Linked DNA regions of Tamandua tetradactyla. The protein of the gene in region 2 purifies or fractionates together with the protein of the main gene of each other region. This does not show direct contact. Links are inferred from orthologs where the notes say so. Each region holds a gene or a part of one and is shown on either strand. Other genes may lie near its edges.

What was found. The genes of interacting proteins can lie anywhere in the genome.
Region 1: the proteins of IQGAP1 (region 2) and protein diaphanous homolog 1-like purify together in Homo sapiens (affinity purification with western blotting; 3 studies listed by BioGRID and IntAct, with this or other methods). This does not show direct contact. The link is inferred for Tamandua tetradactyla from reciprocal best matches to the Homo sapiens genes IQGAP1 and DIAPH1.
Region 3: the proteins of IQGAP1 (region 2) and MYL6B purify together in Homo sapiens (affinity purification with mass spectrometry; 3 studies listed by BioGRID and IntAct, with this or other methods). This does not show direct contact. The link is inferred for Tamandua tetradactyla from reciprocal best matches to the Homo sapiens genes IQGAP1 and MYL6B.

Annotation. Positions count from the first base shown.
Region 1 is NC_135346.1:21,752,682-21,760,530, reverse strand, and holds the start of protein diaphanous homolog 1-like, read left to right. Parts: upstream 1-4,831; 5' UTR 4,832-4,950; coding exon 4,951-5,067; intron 5,068-7,849. Other genes in the region: HDAC3 (histone deacetylase 3), read left to right, coding at 2,355-2,424. UniProt on the Homo sapiens protein: Actin nucleation and elongation factor required for the assembly of F-actin structures, such as actin cables and stress fibers. Binds to the barbed end of the actin filament and slows down actin polymerization and depolymerization.
Region 2 is NC_135338.1:98,911,177-98,918,546, forward strand, and holds the start of IQGAP1 (ras GTPase-activating-like protein IQGAP1), read right to left. Parts: upstream 3,011-7,370; 5' UTR 2,919-3,010; coding exon 2,864-2,918; intron 513-2,863; coding exon 413-512; intron 1-412. UniProt on the Homo sapiens protein: Plays a crucial role in regulating the dynamics and assembly of the actin cytoskeleton.
Region 3 is NC_135333.1:123,210,815-123,218,216, reverse strand, and holds the start of MYL6B (myosin light chain 6B), read right to left. Parts: upstream 3,019-7,402; 5' UTR 2,889-3,018; intron 2,652-2,888; exon of another isoform or gene 2,525-2,651; intron 1,647-2,524; 5' UTR 1,601-1,646; coding exon 1,406-1,600; intron 670-1,405; coding exon 642-669; intron 425-641; coding exon 281-424; intron 60-280; coding exon 1-59. UniProt on the Homo sapiens protein: Regulatory light chain of myosin. Does not bind calcium.

The sequences.
Region 1 (7,849 bases), on a different chromosome or scaffold from region 2:
TACGTTAATAGTTTGATTTGTTCCTTTTCAGACAGACCTTTTTTTTTCGGGTAACAAAAGTACTGTTCCACATATAAACACACATACTCAGAGTTAGTGGTTTGTGCTTTAAAAAAAAAAAAAATACAAGTAAGATCATTCTATCCATGTTGCTCTAGAACTCACGCCTGACTTTTTTTTTCCCTAACAAACAGTTCCTCTTTCCATCAATATATGTAGATCTGCTTCATTATTTTATCAGCTATGTAATATTCCATAGTGTGGATATAGTTTAATTTAACCAGTTAGCATGGATGGATAGATTATTTTCCATTTTATCATTACCCAAAAATGCGGCAAACAACCCCTTACACATATACCTGCTTGTTTGAGTAACTCAGTGGGTTAAATTTCTCTGCTGAGAATTGTCACTGCTAGTTCAATTTTAGTGCTGTGCTCACTAAAATTTTTTATATTTGCAGCCAAATTGCCTTCCAGAAAATCTGCAGCAATTTATGTTCTTGCCAGCATTTTACTCACTCCTTCCAAGTCACTGCCCATATGCCCTTTGTTCTCTTAAGTTTTTCAGAGTGATAATGGTGTTGTGGTTATGTTTTTTAATGAAGCCTTTATCTTTCTGAGATACAAGCTAAAATATAGATGCAGTGAATTGTGGATAAAAATAAAAGTATAGAATTCTTTTAAAAAAAAATCCCAACCTATTCTGAAAAACAAAGGAAAAAGATAAAAGAATCCAGAAGTACAGAAACAGATGTACCTATCAGAGAACAGGTTTCCTTACGTGACTGAGAGATAACCATAACAGTGGCAGAGCTTTGAGCTGGCCCTGTTGGAGAATCTAACAAGCTTTTCAGTTTCTTCCAGAATCTACTTCTCTGTCTTAGAGTTCAGGCCTCCAGAGCTCTCCTCTGGGCCTGGGCTTACCGCTCTGACCCTTGGAACTCCTACAGCACCCCACCTGAGTACTCCTTTATCCCATTCCTAGAGGAAGCATCTAGACATCCGGCCCCAGGCCTTCCCTTTTTGACCTATCATGTCTTTTTCAGCTTCTCCAGGTCACTGCGACTTGACTTCTGGAAATTGGTTTTCACTGTTTGGTTTGGTTTGGTAAAGTCTGTTATTACAGCTGGTTCTTCCTTTTGACAAAATTTGACTTTTTCATTTATAGTTCTGACTGGCATCTGAACCTAGTATCTGCATTTTACTGTCCACTGCAGAAGCCTCGGGCTACTTCCTTAGCCCTAACACACTGTTGGACCACTTACTCAGTTCCTGTTCTTCTTTGAGAGATGCCTTTCGCTCCAGTAATAATAATGAGTTACCATTTTTTTGTGGGTTTGTTAAGCAACAGACTCAATGCTAAGTGCATTATAAACAACATACATATCTTTGGGTCATCATCCTATCATCATCAGACAGCCCTAAGAGGTGATTATTATTCTCAATTGCCAGAGGACGAATCCAAGGCTCAGAGAGATTAAGTAACTTTCCTTAGATCACACAATATTGGGCCCAATATTGTTTTCATAGTCATTCTGTCACTACAGATTTATAACATCATGTCATTCCACTGCTTAAAACCTTCCTTTTCATTGCACCTAGAAGAAAATCCAAATTTCTGACCATGGCTTAATAAGGCCCTGCACACTGGCTCTTACCTATATCCCTCATCTCATCTCTAACTACTCCCTTCCATGCAAACTATTCCTAGCCATACTCGCCTTCTTGCTCTTACTGGAATACATAAGTCTACCACATGACCTCTGTACTTGATTTTCTTACAGCTTGGAATAGTCTTCCTGAGATCTTTGCTTGGCCAGCTCCTTCTCAGACTTCAGGTCTTAAATTCCTACAAAAATTTCCCTAATCATCTTGTCTGAAATTTACCCTTTTCCTCCCATCACATTCAGTCATGTCACTATTTCATTTTATTCATAGCACTTTCCACCATCTGAAATAATCGTGTTTTTTTATTCTTTGAGGGGAGGAGGAGGGGTGCCTGGTCTGGGAATCGTACCCATGTCTCCCGCATGGAAGGCAAACATTCTCCCACTGAACCACCCATGAACCCTGCTTTTATATTTTTTAGGTTATTGTCAGTTTCATTGTGTAAGCCCTTAGAAGGTAGAAACATTATCTGGCTTCTTTACTGTATTGCTGAAGTCTGTGACAGTGCTTTAGCAATACAGTCCCTCAGTAAATGTTTATTGAATACATAAATGGATGAATGATAGCAATCTTTCTCTATCAGTAGGAGGAAAGGAGTGGTTCCCTGACAGAGGGGGTCTGAGAAGTAGTTCCAGAGAGGGGAACTTGGAGACTGGAGTCCTGATCTCCTTCCCGTTGCTTTGCAGGCCAGAGGCACCCAATGAGTTCTATGATGGAGACCACGACAATGACAAGGAAAGTGACGTGGAGATTTAAGAGTGGCTTGGGGATGCTATGTCCCAAGGACTTCCTTTTCACCTCTTGATTGGGCAGGAGGGAGAAGACGTGACTTCTCTATTCCTGGATATATCACAACCAGGGAAGGGTTCGGAGACCACATCTGGTTCTAGAACCAACTTCCCCTTTTCCTCTGCCTCCCCAGGCCTGACAGTGGTACCTGTTGGGAGGGGAAGGAAGCAAAGACAGCTGTCTCTGGGTTACCTTGGGCAGTGGGCCCTAGGAGCCAGACCCCAGCCCCTCTACCTCCCTTATTCCTTCCATGCTTCCCTCCAACCCAGAGACTTCAGCCTAAAAGGGTAGGCAGGACTGAGGTTGCCTCTGATTCCTTCATGCCTGGGTGTTCTGCTGTAGGCTGTGCTTCCAGGACAGGTGAAATATGAGAGGTTTCAGGGGCCTCTGACTCACTAAAACCTTAATCTCAGATAATCTGACGTATGGTTTTGAGTCAGGGGAAGATGTGAAAATGTCATGTTCTAACTTTTTTTGGCTTCATGTCCATTTTACCACTGTTTTTATCCAATAAATCAAGTTGGTATTTTTTGTACCTTTTGCCTTTCTGGGAGTGTTCTTAATTCCTGTTAGTGTTATCTGCCCATGTGTGAAGGGAAGAAGAAAAGGGGTAATCATGCTTATAATAAGAATCATCATTAACATTCATTCAGCACATTATTTTATGTTAGGACCTATTATATATTCTATATGGATTATTTTACTTCAACTCAGGGAGTTAAGCATTCTGGTTGAGTTAAACAAACCTGGATAGATTACTAGTTTAAGAGAAGAAATAGAAGACAACTTCAGGGTTTTGAACCTGGGTTTTGGAATAACAATGCTAGTTGCTGACTATAAATTACAATAAAACATGTCAAGTGCTTAGCACCGTGCCTGACAAAAGTAGTTATTAGTCTCATTATCTTATCTTTGTGTAAGGAACAAAGCTAGCTACCATAGTAGCCACAAAACATGGACCCTTCTCTGGAGTGGTTCACAATCCAGTAAGGGAAAGAGTTACAAGTTCACATGGATTGTAATAAATGTTATAGTACATACAGACAGTGGTACAAGAAAGAGGAGTAGTAGATGAGCCACTCTTTCCATCCTTTGATCCTATTTGTTTCTCAGCACTCCAGCTTAGTAAGCAGTTTTTGAACTCTTGAAAAAGTTGAGTTTGAAGTGTGGGTTGGACAGCTTGATACAACTTTCTTTCAGGCAATTAGAGGGTCTGGAGCACCAGAGAAATGAATACCAGATTAGGAGCTAGCCAGTTTGACACAGTCTCTGCAATATACCAGCTCTTGGACAGGGGTACCAGAGTGAGTACGCTGACCTTCAGGAATGCACACTTGAAATCTTTTGTCACCAGTGATCAAGGCAATTCATGCTGTGGGGTCATACTGAATATCTACTTTTCATACAAGGGACAGGTGCCAAGGGAGAACGTCACACTAGAAGAGCAAAGAACATGCTCTTGGAGAACATCCCTTCTTTTCACTCATGTTCAGTTTATGTCAGTGGAGAGTCCTGCTTAAAAACAGGGCTTGCCAGTCAGACTAACCAGTGTTTCTTTTTTTTTTTTTTCTTTTCTATCAAATTTGTGTTCTTAGGCAAGTCACTTCAACTCTCACAACCCTAATATCCTATCTGTAAAATTGGAAGACTAGTAGAATCTATCATGTGGTCTAATGAGTGAGATGATACATGTGTGCTTTGCACAGTGCCTAGCACAGAGCAAATGCTCAGTAAATGGAACTATTAATACTGTCTAGGCCAATGTTTGGAGTAACTAGTTTGTCCAAATTAGAACTACAACTAGAAAGTAGCTGACCTGAGATTCGAAACTAGGCACTCTAACTGCGGAGCTAGTCTGGTTCAGGGTTTAGCATGGACCATGCTCTATTCTTGGTATTTAGCTGTCAATAAATGGCAGCTGTCACTTTCAATGTAATCTACGTGTATTTCACATGTAAGAACTGCACTATCCCGGAAAATCCGGCACTAAATTTTCTGTCAGGGTAACGGTACCTCTGATTCGAATTTTGGCTCAGATTATAATATCCCGGTCTGAGTGAGAGTAGGTTCAGGTTTGACAGACACGTGGAAGCTGAGTGGGAACAAGGAGACCTGGTCTTCGCCGCTCGTACAGCCAGGGAGCGCTGTTGCCAGTCGCGGCCTAATCGAGCTGTACCGCCCACTCGTCATCCCCCACGTGGGCCGAATGGTTAGGTCCGCGGGCAGGTAGTGTGCTTCCGCGACTCCCCTCCACCCCTTTTCCTTCCCCCATTGGTAGGGGCTGCGCGTCCGGGCGGAAGTGGGGCAGGCGGGCGGGAGCGAGGCGTCACCGTTGTATATTCATGAGGCGCGCGCAGCCCGGCATGCTAATGAGGCGGGGCGCGGCGGCTGGCTAAGGAGCTGCTAGGCGGGCGGTGGCGGCGGCGGCGGGCGCGGTGCGACCCGTCGGGAGCGACGTAGGCGCGGGGGTCGCCAGCCAGCGCGAACCGGGGCATGGAGCCGCCGGGTGGGGGCCTGGGGCCCGGCCGCGGGACCCGGGATAAGAAGAAGGGCAAGAGCCCGGACGAGTTGCCTGTGGCGGGCGGCGACGGCGGCAAATCCAAGAAATTTGTGAGTGTCCCTCCCACCTGGTTTCCTCTGCCCGTCCCCACAACCGGCTCGGGACCCGGGAAACCCCAGCAGCCGGGCCTAGGGGCTCCCGCCTATCTCTCGGGAGCCGCCCCCGCGCCTACCTTCCTTGACTAGCTGGGTCCTTGGCTCCTCAGCCCGACATCCTCCTCCTCTTCCCGGACCTCGGGAAGCCCCGGAGTCTCACCCGGTTCTTGCCCCGGTAGCCGCGGGGCTTCTTTCACTCTCCAGCCGGCAAGCTCTGCCCTCCGTCCTCACAGCCCCGGCCAGCTCTCTGCCCGGTCTCTCTCCTCCCAGCCCCACTTCCTTTCTTTCTCTGTTACCCGCTCACGGCTTCTCTATCTTGATCTCCTATGCTTTCCTGGGTCCATTTACCTCCCCCCCTCTTTTTTTTTGTAATCTCTTATTTCCTTATCCAAAAGGTCACTTCCTTCCCCATGATTGATCCTTTTCACCTGCTAACTTTCCTCCCTGCCCCGTCCCCACTCTGGGCCCTCAGCCCGGTGTCGCTTGATAATCCTTCCGCTCAGGAATGTTACCTGATTTGGACCATGTGATACAGGAATAGGTTCCTGCTTAGGTCCTCTGGTCATTCGGCCTTGGACGTTAATTATTTGCTTCCCAATATTTCTCTTTCCAAAAAACCTGTTTCTTTGCCCTGTTGCTTAACACTTTTCAGGGGTTTAGAACTTCTCCCAGGATTATGCCCTTCTCCACCTAGGATGGGAATAAACCTCCCCCATGGGGAGGAAGTTAGTAAGTTCAAGAAGTTTGTGAGTAATTGAATTTTTTTATACATTTTCCGTGATAACCATCTCCTCAACTCCTCTTCTGCCACCTCCTGTGCCTCAAAGCTGCTCACTTCCCTTTTCCTACCTGTCGAAGAGTATGGATTTCCTCAGGTGCCAGTTACTTCCAACCTTAGTCTGGAGAAATAATTGCTATTCATGTAATCCTACCGTATTTCATTACCTTTTGCCCACACTAAATCTTTTTTTCCTTACTCCTCTCTGCAGGGAGCTACTTGTCTACTTTTTATCATAAAAACAGAAAGATTTGGGGCACTGTCCAAGAGAGGGAAAAGTCTTTGATCTTAATAATCGCTTGTTAGTTGTAACTGTGTTTTAGTCTTTCCCTCTAGATGGTACAGCGTCTCCCTCCCCTTCTACTGACCAAATGGTTTATAGCTCTTCTTTCTGTTTTCTCTTGTCCCCAGCATTCTGACCCAACTCCACAAGTTTGGGAAATAGTGGTGGAAACAGGAAGAAAATATTGTGAGGTTGAGATGTGGAGAGTACTAGTACAAAATAAAACAGTGACTCATCTCTTTTCTACCTGTTTCTAAGACCAGGTGCTCCTGGACTCTCCTTTCCAGTGATTTACAGGCTGTCGGTAACTGCCTGTTTTTATCTGGTGAATATCTTTTTGTCTATAAGTGTAGGATTAACAGGAGTGTCGTCCCCCTCTCCCCCAAACCTTTGATGATTAAAGCAGCATTTTCCTATGTTTCTTTAGGCTAAGAATTGACCCTCTGGTTTGAAAGTTTCCCTTCTAAGACTTAAGTTCTAGGGCCCATACTCCTTCTGGTTTCTGTATCTTTTTGTTTTGATTTTGTTTCCATGGGTATTGTTTGACCTTCCTAACCTGAATTCCCACTGCTGATTTATAATAACTTTTGTGACTTGTAAATATTTTTTCAAATCTTAGTGGAATTTTCTGTGTGTTTTTGTTTTATCTAATATGGGTGTGTTTCGTGAATTTGTGAATCATTCATGTGTGATGCTGTAAGGTGAGAGCACCTGTTTTGGGAATGTCACTGAGTCTTCTTTGCTGAATGAATTTGTCTCAGAATAGTTGGTATTTGCTTTAGAGAGGGTGGAGCCGAACCAAGTTCTCTTTTTCTTTCTGAGGTGTTGGTCTTAACCCTTAACCAGTTGAAGTTTTAAAAATATGTAGTATAGGCAGTGAAGAGATTTGCTTTAGTAGCTAGGGGATTGGAAGGTTCCCAGGAAAGTAGTGCAGCTTAACTCCTTTATTGCCAGGTATGACCTGCCTCAAGTCATCAGAATATTCTGTTTGAATTCTGTGGAAATGGAAGACTAGGCACATTGCAATGCACTTCTCTCTGTGTCAGTGTGTGTGTGTAAGTGTGGGCGGGCGGTGTGGGCAGGATTGCTGCAGTGCTTTTGTTACCCATGGCTTGGTTTTCTTAAACTGCAGGTTAAAACGGAACTCAAAGCTGTTTCGCCTACTCCACGTTTTCTAGAGTGTGTGGCCTCTGGAACACCATTAAGAGTGTTTTTATAAAACTGCGCTGGTCTGGACAAAGTGTGCCTGGAGGTTGTTTGCATCTGAGGGGTAATATTAATCCCTTTAGCTGCTACATACCTTTCTGGGTTTATAGAGGTTCTGTGTACAGATCATCGAATGAGAAAACAGAGCTCTTACCCTCTGAGGCAATCTTGTGTGGAAAGGAGATAGAGAGTCTTAAATTTAAAAAGTGTTTGGACACCGTCTTTTAAAATATATGATTATTAGAGAGATGTTGACATGAGTGGCTGAAGCCAGGCGACCTGGTACTCCCCCTTGGTTTTTCATGTGTCTGTCTTCTCCCAGGCCCTGTGCATTTCCCTTCTCCAGGATCATTCCAGTTGTGTTTGGAAGTCCTTAAGATGAAGGAAATAAGAGAACTATAATTAAATGGAATGTGGAGTGTTTTCTGGACTCAACAGCAGTGGTAAATGTGGGTGTCAAATATACTGAT
Region 2 (7,370 bases):
TCCCTACTCCTAAGCCTCCTAAACCACATACCCCTCCACTGCCATGGGGAGAAAGGAATCAACTCATACATAAACCAAAACCAGTGATAACGAGACATTAAAAAAGCCAAGAACTTCAAATTCTAAAAATGCTATTTCTTTCCTACAGCTGATCATGTCCAAAACATGCACCATAAATATTAAACTGAACAGCAAAAATCTGAAAATTCTTCAGTATACATAAATGTCCACCAGTGTTTCATAATAAGCTGCCATCAAGACCAGTCGCTCCCATGAGTAAATAACATGCCTATATTTATTCCTTAGACTATCAGCCTCAGTCACACCTACAACACATTCAGAGATCTTTATCTGTATCCATATCACATCAGTTTCCTTCTCCCAATCGTCTCTCCAGCCAGCCAATCCTTACCTCTTTGCTTCTTCCAAATGACAAAGGTACTCATAAGCCACATTCTGACGTCTCCTTTCATCCATCTCCTCTGCAGTAAGTCTCTCATTATCCAGGACAGCTGAAACATGAAAAAGAAGAACGTAAACGTGGGGCTCTGTAACCTTCCTGATCGATAAAAGAATGCCAAAGCATCAAATTCCTGTGAGTCACTAGAGGTTCAAGGTAACCATGGGCTGCATGTATCGCCAGGTGCACTACAGTGGCTTTCCTGAAACAAGAATTGAGGGGTTTCAACTACACTAATCTTACACTCTCTTCTAGGTACAATATGAGCACGTACTCAATTTTAACGTGACCTAGAAAAATACTGTTTCTTGAGATTTGGGCCTAAATTTGTCCTTGTCTGTCTGCCAGAACTCTTTCTAAATACAGATCTGACCCTGTTGTTCCCCTATTTCACGAACAACCAAAGCCAGCGGTTACTGAGAACAAAGTGGCAGTAATTGTTCTAAGCGTTTTACATGCATCCTCTCATTGAAACCACACAACAACCCTGTGATTATCACTCCCATTCTACAGATGAGGAAAGTGAGGCTGGGTGAGCTCAGCCCCACAGCTAACGCAGGCAGTCTGCCTCCAAAGCCTGTGAGCTTACCCTGGAAGCAATGTGCCTCCTTCACGGACACCCAGAGCACCCTAACTCCTTGGCAGAGCTAGATTTCTCAATCTAGCCCCAACAACTAGCCCCAACAAGAGAAACACATCTCTTCCCTCTCCCTGCCCTTTCCCCACCACTGTGCACAGTGCCCTCCTCTTTATGACCTTCCTTCGTGCTCTTCCCTCTTCATGTGTCTTGCCCCACCCCACCCTGTCAAACTTTACACATCCTCCTGGACGTCGCTGCTCAAGTGTCAACACCTGTGCTCACACTGCCTTCTTCAAACCCTCCTCTTCACTCACTGTTTACTGCTTATGACCAGTCAGGTCACACGTACTTTATCTTTACCACACCTTATTATCATTAGGTTGCAGACCTCTTTGTCTCTAATTTTAAATGTTCTTTGAAGGCAGGACCTAATCTTGCCCATATTCAATTTCCCAGATGTGGCACAATCCCTCACACATAACTGTTTAAGAGCAAAATTATCTTAAAAACAAAATTTTATTCCCAAATATAAATACACATGAAACCGCCAAAGACTCAAAAGGACCCCCTGTGGCCGTGGTACCAGCCCCTGCAGTTTAATAATGTCTCATGGACCCACAGAAAAGGAGGTTCCAAGAATGAGGAAGTCCAAGGGTGGATTTTCTTTTTCTACTTTTCAAATCCTGAAGAGGGAACTAAACCCTAGAAAGCTGAAGTGACTCGCCCAAGGCCGCACCTCCCCACTGGCCTGGGAGCGCACAGGACCCCCGAGGACGGGACAGAGGCCACGAAGACAGGACAGGGCCCCCAGACCCAGGGACCCCTAGGACAGGGCAGGGACCCCGAGGACGGGACAGGGACCCTTGAGGACGGGGCAGGGCCCACGAGGACGGAGCAGGGACCCCGAGGATGGGGCAGGGCCCCCGAGGACAGGGCAGGGACCCCGAGGACGGAGCAGGGACCCCGAGGATAGGGCAGGGCCCACGAGGACAGGGCAGGGACCCCGAGGATGGGGCAGGGCCCCCGAGGACAGGGCAGGGACCCCGAGGGCGGGACAGGGACCCTCGAGGATGGGGCAGGGCCCACGAGGACGGAGCAGGGACCCCGAGGACGGGACAGGGACCCTCGAGGACGGGGCAGGGACCCCGAGGACGGAGCAGGGCTCCGAGGACGGGGCAGGGACCCCGAGGATAGGGCAGGGCCCACGAGGACGGGGCAGGGACCCCGAGGATGGGGCAGGGCCCCCGAGGACGGGGCAGGGACCCCGAGGACGGGGCAGGGCCCACGAGGACGGAGCAGGGACCCCGAGGATGGGGCAGGGCCCCCGAGGACAGGGCAGGGACCCCGAGGACGGAGCAGGGCTCCGAGGACGGGGCAGGGACCCCGAGGATAGGGCAGGGCCCACGAGGACGGGGCAGGGACCCCGAGGACGGGACAGGGACCCCGAGGACAGGGCAGGGCCCACGAGGACGGGGAAGGGCTCCCGAAGACGCGGTAAGGCCCGGGCTCGGTGCCCAGGACACGCCCTGTGCCGTCCTGCCGTCCCCCCCGGCCGTCTCTCCGGGGCCGAGCGGGCGGCGGGCGCTGGGTGGGGCTCCGGGGTCGCAGCGCCCGGGCTCCCAGGGGCCCTCCGGGTCCGCCCGCCGCTCGGAGCCGAGCAGGGCGCAGGGACTCGTCCCGCCACCCGCGCTTCCTGCGGCCCAGCCGGCGGCCCTTCCGGGTCCACGCGGCCCGCACGCCCTGCCCCACCGCCCCAGGCCGGGAAACGGCGCCGCAGAGGCAGCGGGCCTGGCCCCGGAGCCCCCGCGGAACCCCGCACTCACAGCCATAGTGCGGCCGGGCCACGCCCAGGCCGTCGACCTCGTCCGCGGCGGACATGGCGGCCGAGCCGGGTCTCTGCTGAGGAAGCGGAGAGACCCAGGACGCGCGGCGGGGGCTGCAGCTCCTGCCAACTGCGCGCGCGGAGGCGCCGGAGGCCCCGCCCCCAGGCCCCACCCTGGGGGCCCCGCCCTGCCGCGCCGGCGGGAGCGGGCGGAAGGGGGCGGGACCGAGCCGCAGGCCCCGCCCCATCCCGCCCCCTGGGTGCGGGCCCCCTCCCCCACGCCCCGCGCCTCCGCAGCAGCGGCCGGAAGGAGGCGGAGTCCGCCCGCCGGGTTTGCACCGACTGGGGCCGCCCCGGGCCTCCGAGACCCGCCAGCGGAGCCACCGCCCTATCTGCAATTCTAAGGGAAGGGCCGCAGAGTCGGCGGTTTGAAATCAAAACCGTGGGCCACCTCCCTTTCCCTGCCTGCTGAGCCAAGCAAGCTCCTTTACATCTTACTTTTTTTCAAGAAAAAAGGAAAGGGAGGCATCCATTATAAAGATATATATGGGCCGGAATTGCAAAAACAGGTCTGATGGAAGCTTGAAAGGATGGCTCTATTCCTCTGGGCATCTCTGCCTCTCTGCAGGTCTGTTCCACCCTCCTCGTTGTGGGAACCAGCCTTCTCCGTTCTCATTTCTCCGGCTCCTCCACAGCTCTGGCTGAGGAGCACCTTGATTTTCCAATTCCATAGTCCACAGAGTGGCATATGATTGGACCCAGTCATCTTTTTACCCCATAGCTAAGTCTCTGGCCATCCATTGACGGGTTGTCTTTGGTTCAGATGTTGGCTGATCTTTTACTTCAGTCCACTGCGGCCAGGAGGTATGGCCAACTGAGGAATAAAACCTAGGGGCTGGACATTATTGCCTTCAATGGGATGGTCCGGTAGGCAAACAATGATCATATTTCTAAGATGATGGTTAAGTGAAAAAAAAAAAAAAACCAAAATTATGAACCAATAAACATAGTATGATACCATTTCTTTTTCTTTTATTATTTTTATTGACAAATCCAAACAAAGTACAAACAGGAACATTCTTAACATACAAGTATTTCATACATGGTGTACAATCAATAGCTCACAATATAAGATACCATTTTTGCTTGAAAAAAATAGAAAGTACTTAGGATGGAATATACGGTGTGTGAATATATCTCACTGAAATTGCATTTGCAAAAAAAGAAAAAGAAAGAGATGCATATGAATTTTAAAAAGCCATGAATCATATACACCAAAATGTTTAACAGTTATTTCTCCAGGTAGCAGAATTACAGTAGAATTGTATGAGAGGTTTTGTTTGTCTGCTTCTCTGTGTTTCCCAAGTTTTCTACAATGAGCTATTAGAGATACTATTTTATCAGCAAGTATAAATATGAATAAAATTAGTAAATATAAAATAAATACATGGTGAAACAATGAGCTAAATAGTCATTCTGAGTAAAAATGGTTCATGACCTTGAGGCGCTTAAATGCTAGTGGGAGTAAAACAATTAACAGGATAACTTGAGATAAGCATCATGATAGAGATTTCCCTTTACCTGGAATACTTGATAGACTTTTACCTGCCTTGGAACACATACTCAATTTTCCAGACTTAACTTAAATGTCACCTCCTCCCTCAAGCAAAATTAATCATTTCCACATTTGTCACCCAGAAGCAGTTTAAAAACCATATGTCTTCAAAAATAAGTCCAAGATTTTCACATTTTAATGCTTTTGAAATCAAAATAGTATTTACTAAAAGACAGATACCAGGTAGAGAAGTATATTGTAACATAATTGTCATTGCTTGCACATATGTAAACTTAACTAATTTCTCAGAAAAGGTCAGAGAAATTTCAGAGCTAGAATTGATGACAGGAATGACTAACTAGGTACAATAGAGTTGGGCTCTTCAAAAAAGCTTGGCTCCAACTTTGATTTAGAGAAGAGGTTGATAAGTAATCCCCGGGAAGATGTATGTTATTATCAATCAAGTTTTTAGTGTGTGTGTGTGTATATATATATATATATATATATATATATATATATATATATATATACATATGAATGATAGGATATTTCTTAATGGCTCCAAAAGCTGTTTTTATTTGCTGGTGTACCCTACAGTGAAAGGTGTCTTCAACTCCAAGTGTACAGTCATATATGGCTCTATTATAGCACGTGGCCCATTGAATTATTTACCTGTCCATCTTCCCAGACAGATTATTAATCCCCCAAAGACAGAAAATCAGGTGAAAAGAAAATTCATCATGAATAGCTAACAAATACAGGATTCTTACTGTTGAAAATTTAGGATTTGATTTCTATATAATTCCCATAGAAATTTCCCAGAAGTATGGTTTCCCTGGGACAGAGAATAACACTTCTGATTTGATAAGATGTCTCATATAAAAACATATTGGGCTTTTGGAAGCCAGTTTCCTGTGAAGAGGCTGGGAAATCTGAGGCAATAGTTTCTCAATACCCCTGAAGATGAAGGGTGAAAGATGCTGAGGGCTAACTTTTCATAGAATTGTAGCTATTCTCTGGAAGACAGATTTCTAAAATGGCCACCTGAGTCCCAGTCCTAGGTATTCAATCAAATATGAATCTAGCTTTACCCTGGGGCCTCCACCCAGGCTGGATCTCCTGAAGGGCTCTGGACACATGCGAGGGACCACTAGGGATTTGGGGCAGGATTTCCCCACATCATGCCTCTTAGTATTTACTAGGGTTGACAAATGGCTTACAAATAACAACAGCTAACTTGTAATGAGTGCCCAGCCCTTTCTAAATGTTTGGTATTCATTCTTTCATTTGACCCTCACAACCACCCTGTAACATAGGAATTACTAGAATTCTCCAATTTAAAAATGAAGAAACTGAGACTCAGAAAGGTTAACTAACTTTCCAAAGACTACACAACTTGTCAGTGGCACAGCCAGGATTCAAACTGCACTCACCTCAAGATTGGTGTATATGAACACTATTATCCACATGTGTGTCAACTGTAGTGCCCAGTAGTGGCTGCCAAAAGAGCTGAATTGAAAGATTTGTCCAGATACATCTACCAAAAAATGTGATGGACCCAGACATGACAAAGAACTCATGAGGAGTTCACACATCAAGACAGAAATCTGGGAGTACTGATAAAGTGTGGTGGTTTGAAATGACGTATGTACCCTAGAAAAGCCATGTTTTAATCCTAATCCCATTTCGTAAAGGCAACTGTTTCTTATAATCCCTATTCAGTATTGCATGTTTGAAACTGTAATTAGATCATCTCCCTGGAGATGTAATTTAATCAAGAGTGGTTGTTAAACTGGATTAGGTAGGGGCATGTCTCCAACCATTTGGGTGGGTCTTGATTAGTTTCTGGAGTCCTATAAAAGAGGAAACATTTTGGAGAATGAGAGAGAGATTCAGAGAGGGCAGAGTAGAATGACATAGCCACGAGAAGCAGAGAGCCCACAAGCCAGCGACCTTTGGAGATGAAGAGGGAAAACGCCTCCCAGGGAGCTTCATGAAACAGGAAGCCAGGAGAGAAAGCTAGCAGATGATGCCTTTCTCACCATGTGCCTAACAGCTGAGAGAGAAACTATGACTGTGTTCGCCATGTGCTTTCCACTTGAGAAAGAAGCCCTGAATATCATCGGCCTTCTTGAACCAAGGTATCTTTCCCTGGAGCCTGAGATTGGACATTTCTATAGACTTGCTTTAATTGGAACATTTTCTCAGCCTTAGAACTGTAAACTAGCATCTGATTAAATTCCCCTTTTTAAAAGCCATTCCATTCCTGGTATATTGCAATCTGGCAGCTAGCAAACTAGAACATAAGGTATGAGTTGATTTTGACTAGATGATATGAGTGTCCTAGAAAAGATATTATGTGGGCAGGGCTTTCAGAGAAGACCAGAGGGAAAGGTGAGGAAGAGTACTAGGTGGAAAAAAAGCATAAGCAAAGCCAGGAAAGGATTTGTATGGGCATTGTGTGCATGCATGTATATATGGGCTCTCCATACTGCTTAGCTCATTCCAGTCTTCTCGAAGGGCAGGAGCCATAGGATGCTTCAAAAGGTCCAAGAGGAACCTTTTTGGAAAGATGTTCACCTTCGGCAGAGAGTGTGACTTTCTCTTTCTTAGGTACCACGGGTTGTAGGATGGGGGTGGTGGATGTAGACTTTTGGTGTCAGGGGTCTACACCTAACCTCCTTCCTGCCCCCCATAATTGCCCTCTTCCTTTGTCATTCTTTATTCCCTTTAGACAGGTATTTTGTGTGGCAGAAAGCTCACTTCCTTTATTGAATGTCACTTTTTATGTCTTCTCCAGAAGTGGCATGCAGAAAATCTTACTGGGTGTTCTAGTTTGCTAGCTGCTGGAATGCAACACACCAGAGATGGATTGGCTTTTAATAAAAGGGGATTTATTTTGTTGGTTCTTCAGAGGAAAGGCAGCTAACTTTCCACTGAGGTTCTTTCTTAC
Region 3 (7,402 bases), on a different chromosome or scaffold from region 2:
GGCCACCGCCTGGAGCATGGGTAGGAAAGTCTCGAAGTCCACACGCCGGGACCTCAACTCTGGCGAGGTAAGAGAGAGGTCACTGTGGTGTCATCGGGATCCAGCTCCCATCCCTACCAGGAAGGCTTTGATCCTCTCCACCCTGTTTAACATTTCAGGATGTTTTTCTTCCCCTGTGTTTGAAGTTCTGAGACCCACCCAGCATCCTCAGCCATATTATCAACATTCCTGGTTTCCACCATCGACTTAAAACCCCACAATGTTCAAAGCATCCCCTCACCATCACTTTTGGGGTTTCCCAGGACCCTGAGCACCTCGGCGTTAGTGGGGTTCTGGCCTAGGGCCCTCATCACATCGCCACACTGGCTGAACTGGATCTTGCCATCCCCTACTCGGTCGAACAGCTCAAAGGCCTCCTTGAACTCTGAGGTTATAGAGAAGGATCAGTGTTGACCAGGAGTTACCATCACCAGACACGAAGAAGGTTCTGAAATTATGAGCTAGAGCTGGGCAGAACAAGGGACACAAAGACGACTAGTGTGGGAGGCTTCAAGGTCGGGACTGGAGTTAAGAGAATAGAGAGAGTATCTCAGCAGGGGCTTGGGGCTAGACAGTGGGCTAAGGGGGCAGTTTTTCCTCACCCTCCAGCTGATCCTTGTTAAACTCGATCTGTGGAAGAAAAGAGCAGGTGAGGAGGGATGACAGGGTTTAATAAATCCCTCTCCAACACTCCTCCCAACCAACTGGCAGCCACTTCTGGGGAGGGGCCCAAAGGGAACAGGCTTGAAGCCCAACTACCTCAGTCCCATTCCCGGCTCTGGGCCTTGGGAGAATCCCAAGAGGAGGAATTATGGGGGGAGGGTTTCCTGGGAGCAGGCTTAATCCCATGCCACCTGTTCCCCTCCCTCCACTGCCCTGAGCCCTGCATCCCTCACATAACTGGGGGCTGAACAAAGGCTAAATTTACCCCCTGCCCCCAGCTGTGATTGTCTAACAAGCCTGTCCTCTTCAGCCTCTCCTCCAAGGGTTCAAAGCTATGGCCTTTTGAGTTGAACTGCAAGCCAGGGACAAGCAGCAGCAATCTCCCTTCACCTTGAGACTATTCTTAGAACCCAGATGTTCCCATCCTAAAAGTCCCCATCTCCAGCAGAGGATCAGTGAATGTGTGTATGCACACATGCATGCAACATGTACACAAACATTCACACTTGTTATAAATTAGAACAGCAAACACAAAAGCAGAGACACGAGCCTGGATGCTTCCAAATAGGGGACCAAGGGGACCCCCAATCTCATCTCAGTGCTCATTGATTTTGTACTTTCCACATACCCCCTAATCCCCTAGGTTGTATCCCACCCTCTTACCACCCCCTCCAAATTCTATCCTCATTTTTTGAGGACTCACCACCACTTTGGAGAGGTCGATGGGGGGCTCCTCGGGTTTTTTAGGGGCAGTGGGAACAGCTGGCTCAGCTGTGGGCTTGGCTGGAGGGGCTGCTGCTGCGGGCTTGGCTGGAGGGGCTGCTGTTGGCTTGGCAGCAGGTTTGGAGAAAGAGGGCCCCAGTGGCTTCTTCACGGGAACATCCTTCTTGGGAGGCATGATGTCCGGTGGCCAAAGGACAGTGTGTCAATGGGGGCATCCATCTCTGTTTAAATAGCCAGGGAGTCTGGGATGTCAAAGGGGGGGGTGGGCAGTGGCAGGGAGCCAGTTGGCCGTGGCCAGGGTGAGGTAGAGGAGAGATATGCCTGTCTGCCCTCACTCCCTTGGCCTGCTAAGGTTCATGACTCCTGCCCCAAGGTCTTCCTGGCTCTGCCCACTGCCCCCGCCCCCCCCAAACACTGGCTGAAACAATGTCCCCTTTGGGGGCAGGGAAAGGAAGCCAGAGACTGTCCAGGATAGGGGAGTTAACCTCCGGGGTGAGGACAGGATACATGCCAGTACCAAAGAAGGGGATCCAGGCATTACAGGCCCCTAGGCCCCTGACTATTTGAGTAGCAGCTTTAGACTCTTGAAGGCTGAGGCAGGGCAGGGGGCATTGTGAATTGGGGTAAATTAACATAGGGGCTGGGGCAGAGAAAAGTGAAAAAAAAAAACAAGCAATCCTTTCACCCGCCTCTGACCATGGGGGAGGGGGGATGTAGCTGATCCCACAGCCTAACATCCAGCACCTGTAGTCCCCGGCCACCGCCTAGCCCAGAACTGGAGCTGTACACAATATAAACAGTGGTAACAGTAAGGAGAGTGCGGCATCTCTTCCCCGCCTTTGTCTCCTCTTTCCAGTACTGTTTTAGAGGTGGAGGTAGGGACAAGGATCAGGTACTTGCCACTGCTACTGCCAAGGAAGGAACCCTTTTTCACAAGCCTACGGTCATTCAAGTCGGGCAACCTATGGGGTGCGAGCCGACCCCACTGAGACCGTGGTGGCACCTGGGGGTGGGGAGCTGGCTCTGGGTGGCAATGACCTTCTCTAATCCAAAAGGATGTGGGGGAGTAATTCTATGGGCTCCCAGAGAGAGTACTCACCCCGCAACCAGATGGGAAATAAAAGCCCTGAGTCAGGTGCCAGGTCACAAGCCTTGCTGGGGGCGCTGGGGAAGGGTGGGAGTTGGGGATGTTTGGTAGATGGGACAGGTTGCTGGCTACTTTTGACCTGGGGGAAGGATGGGAGGATTTAGGAAGCATTCAGGGAAAGAGAGCAGTGATTCCATTTAGGCCCTGGGGTTCAGAGAATTGATGCTGGGTGGTTAAAAAAAAAAAGCTTCTGAAGCTCGCAACCGCAAGTGGTCCCATTTTAGGAAAATTAGGCCTCATTCCTTCTAGAGAGTACACACACATCCCTAAGTCTGAAATAAAGGAAGGGACCCCGCCCCAGCCCGCGCAAACTCACCCAGCGGGGTCCGAGGAAGGGACGGGGGCGGGGACGGGGCGGCGCGCAACGCGGCCAGGTCCCTGAAGGGTTAATTCCGGCCGCCTCGGGGCATGCCGGGAGCTGTAGTCCGCGGGCGTCCGCCGCTCGGGGAAACGCGGCTCTCCAAGTGGAAGCGGATGCGGGGCGGTGGCTTCCGGCCTTTGAAGGCAGTTGGTGACTCAGAGCTTTTCGAGCGCGCTTTTTATTCCGGAACTTTAAGGCAGTGAGCAATTAAGAACTTCACCCCTCTCCCTAAAATCCTGCGAGGTCCCTCAGGATAGCCCCCTTGGTTCTAGTGAGTTTCTCGTTTAGTGAGGGCGAGGATATTTTTCAGGGCTGCTGATGCGAGAAGGACCCAGAACCAGGCGAGATGGTGAAGCTGCAGCAGGCGGGATGGAGGTCAGATAACAGGAAGCACTTACTGGCCCGGGGAGAGTGGCTGCGGTCTCGTCTTCCACTAGTAGTTTGGTAGAGATAGAACAGAGGTCACTGAGTTGCTGTGTGACTTTGAGCAGTAGTTTCCAAAGTTGTATTATTTTTTAAAAAGCTGATCGTTCTTTAAAATTTGGAATTAAGCCCGAACACCTGCTTCAGAGGTTGTCCAGTCTCTTCCAGGTCGAAGCTTCTTCCTGCGGCCACATCTGTGCCACTTTCCCGCTCTTCGGACGCTTCTTTGGGGTGCAGCTGTGCTCTCCACCCCTCATTCTGTGACACCTCTGCCTAGCATTGGACTTCACTCATTCTCCCCAGACATTTTCACCCATTCCCGCTTGTCATGTATCGAGGGTCTCCTCTGCCTCTGTACTGGGTGAGGGAGAGAACCTTCCCGGTCGGGCTCCCTTTTCAGTCACTGAAGGATTTCAGGAATCCCATGGGAGGCAGGGAGTTAGTTGTGTGAGGCACAGATGAACTTTATGAGCTCTAAATGACGTTCTGTGGTCAATGGTTGGGGAAAGCTTCTTGGAAAGAAAATGGATTGTAGATTGTATTAACAGAAATAGCAATGATGATGGTGATGTTAGCAGCCATTCTGTTCCTCCAGGCCTTCATAGACCAGGTACCGCATTTAGCTACTGAATTATCGCAGAGACACAGCATAAGAAAAGCTAAAAGTATGAGTACTCAGGCCAGCCTGCTCAGATTTGAATCCTCTTTTTTTTTTTTTTAAATCTTCCTTTTGCCACATGCTAATAACCTCAGGCAGGTTATCTCTCTGTATCTCAACTTCTCCATCTATAAAGTGAGGACAATGAAATCTCATTGGGTTATTAAGATGATCGGGTTATGCTAATATTTGTAAAATAGAACAGGTTTGGCACAGTGTTTGTCTAGGTAAAATAAATTTCATTTAATCTTGCCAAGATAAAAAGTAGGTAGTATCTTCCCCCATTGTATATCCATGCATGATTAGTAGGTTTGAAGAAATAGGATGAAAGAATACGTTTCTCACAATTGTTTAGTTACTAGACTGTTTGGGGAAGGGCCACGTTACACGTTTTTTTTTGCAACACACAGAGAAGTTGATTTTGAAGATGTGGTTTATCTGATTTTTTTCTTCTCCTTTCTCCTAGCTGTAGCCCACACTTGGCACTTTGCAAAATGAGGGGTTATGCCATCAGCTGAATTATTTGTGTTTCTGGCTGCCTTATTGAGAAGTAGTGTAAGGAGAAAAGATGCAAACCCTTCCCACAAACAGGTTGGAGGACTAGTCTTCATTTCCTGTACATGAATAACAAAACTGGACTGAACACAGTTTTAACTGGATACAGGTGATTTAGACATCATCATGTGGGTTATCTGTGACAAATGCCTATTCTTTCTCCTCTCCTCCCTCCCCACCTACAGGTGATTAGTGGTTGCATATTTATTGTGATATTAATCTCAACATAATTAGCAAGGGCACCTCTTTCTTTTTAAATATTTTTATTGAGAAATTTTCACATATGTACAGTCCATCTACAGTATACACTCAATGGCTCACAGTATCATCACATAGTATATTCATCACCATGATCATTTTTAGAACATTTGCATCACTCCAGAAAAAAAAAGAAAAAGAAAAAACTCATACATCCCATGCCCCTTACCCCCCACAGTGACCACTAATATTTCAATCTACCCAATTTTATTTTTACCTCTTATCCCCCCCTTATTATTTGTTTATTTATGTTTCCTTATTTTTTTACTCATTTGTTCATACCCTGGAAAAAAGGGGCATCAGACACAAGGTTTTCACAATCACATAGTCACAGTGTAAAAGCTATATACTTATAGAATTGTCTTTAAGAATCAAGGCTACTGAAACACAGCTCTACAGTTTCAGGCACGTCCCTGAAGTCTGTGGGAGTCATGTGAAAGGGCATCTCTTGAAAGGAAAGTAATACATGAAAAACCTGGAGGACACAGATAAAAAAAGAAAAAAATAAGTAAATTGAACTTCATCAGAATTTAAAACTTGTGCGTCAAAGGACACTATCAAGAGAGTGAAAAGGCAAACCATAGAACAGGAAAAAATATTTGTAAATCATATATCTAATAAGGGTTTAATAGCCTGAATATATAAAGAACCCCAACTCAACAATGAAGACAGACACAATAAAAATAGGGGCAAAGGACTTGAATAAACATTTCTCCAAAGAAGATATACGAATGGCCAGTAAGCACATGAAAAGATGTTCGATATCATTAGCCATCAGTACCAGCCACACCTATTAGCTTTCATATCTTCAAAGGCATCCTATGTCCTTTTTACTCAGGCTGTTGGCATTTGTCGTTTATGCCCTTCACCTAGTCTCCAGGTGTATTCCCAAGGCCAAGCAGAGCACAGTACCTGGGATGTTCTCAGCACTCATATTCATAGAATAAGTGGATATCTGGGTAAATGAGAAGACTCAAGGATGAGCACCAATACTAGTAAGTCAATAGGGAGATAGGTGGGATTAAGGTGAGAGAATTCCCTGTGTTTTGGACTCTAACTTTCACCCTGAAGTAGAAGGTTAGGTTGTTTGATTTGCTAAGAGAGGAAATAGGAGGAGGTGGCTTGAGAAAGTAAGGAAGGTTTGAAGCAGGTACTGTGAATAGCTTACTGGATACCCATTCAAAAATACTCATTTGAAAAGCATTTACTAATTATCTTCTGTGCGTGTGGCACATGGACTTGCTGAGCAACACGGAGGCTGGGTGCAATGATAGATCATGAATTTGTGATGGAGCCAATACAAAAGGTAGTGATTTCCTTCTTCCAGAAGTAGTCACCTGGATGATTGAGCCAGGGAAAGACAGACGGAATATTATAATGAGTTGGAGATTTGTGGAGGTAAATCCACAAATTTAGTCCGGGCCAAATAAAGAAAGAATGAATATAGAGGAGGGTGCTATTGGATTGAGAGAATATGGAAAGACATTAAGGGGAAGGAGTCTCAGTGAGATTGAAGAAATGAGATAGTTGGAGAGCTCAAGAGTTGTAGTTGGAGAAAATAGTGCATTTGAGATTAACACTACAAGGGATGCAGAGGAAGACTAGACCTAGGATGGGTGGCCATTGGAGTGGGTGGTTGAAAGGGCAGTGGAAATGAAGGCCATTCGATTTGTGGAGAAAGCCTGTTAAGGGTTCTTCCAATTGCAGGTAGAAAGAAATTAACAAATTGGCTCAATGATAAAGGGTATTTATTGGCTCATGAAAAATCAAGAGATGGGTGGGCTTTTTGTTCAGTTTGATCCACAGATCATGACATAATAAAGGGATCCGTTCTCTTTAATATTCTTGCTAATGTCCTCCTTCAGGTTAGCTGCTTCTTTCTTGGCTCCCCTCCTGGAGCCGGATATGGCTTGGCTGTAACAGTTCCAGATATCACATCCTTATACCACAAGAGGAAGAGAAACATAAAAAAGACAAACAACCCAATTAAGAAATAGGCCAAGGATTTGCATAGACATTTCTCCAAAGAAAATATACAAATGGCCAATAAGCATGTGAAAATATGTTCAATATTATTATTAGTCATAACAGAAATGCAAATCAAAACTACAGTGAAATAGCACTTCACACCCACTAGGATGAACATTATTTTTTTTAATTATTTTTTTTTACATAGGCAGGCACCGGGAACCGAACCCGGGTTCTCGGGCATGGCAGGCAAGCACTCTTACCTGCTGAGCCACCGTGGCCCACCCAGAACATTATTTTTTTAAGAACGGAAAATAAGTGTTGGTGAGGATGCAACAAATACCTTGTTGGTGGGAATATAAAATGGTACAGCCTCTATTGAAAACAATTTAGTGAACTCTCAGAAAGTTAAACAGAATTACCATATGTTCCGGCAATCCTACTTCTAGGTATATACCCTAGAGAACCGAAATAGGGACTCAGAAAATATTTGTACATCAGTTTCATTCAGCATTTTTCACAATTGCCAAAAGATGGAAATAACCCAAGTGTCCATAAACAGATGAATGGACAGACAAGATGAGGTATATGCGTACAATGGAATATT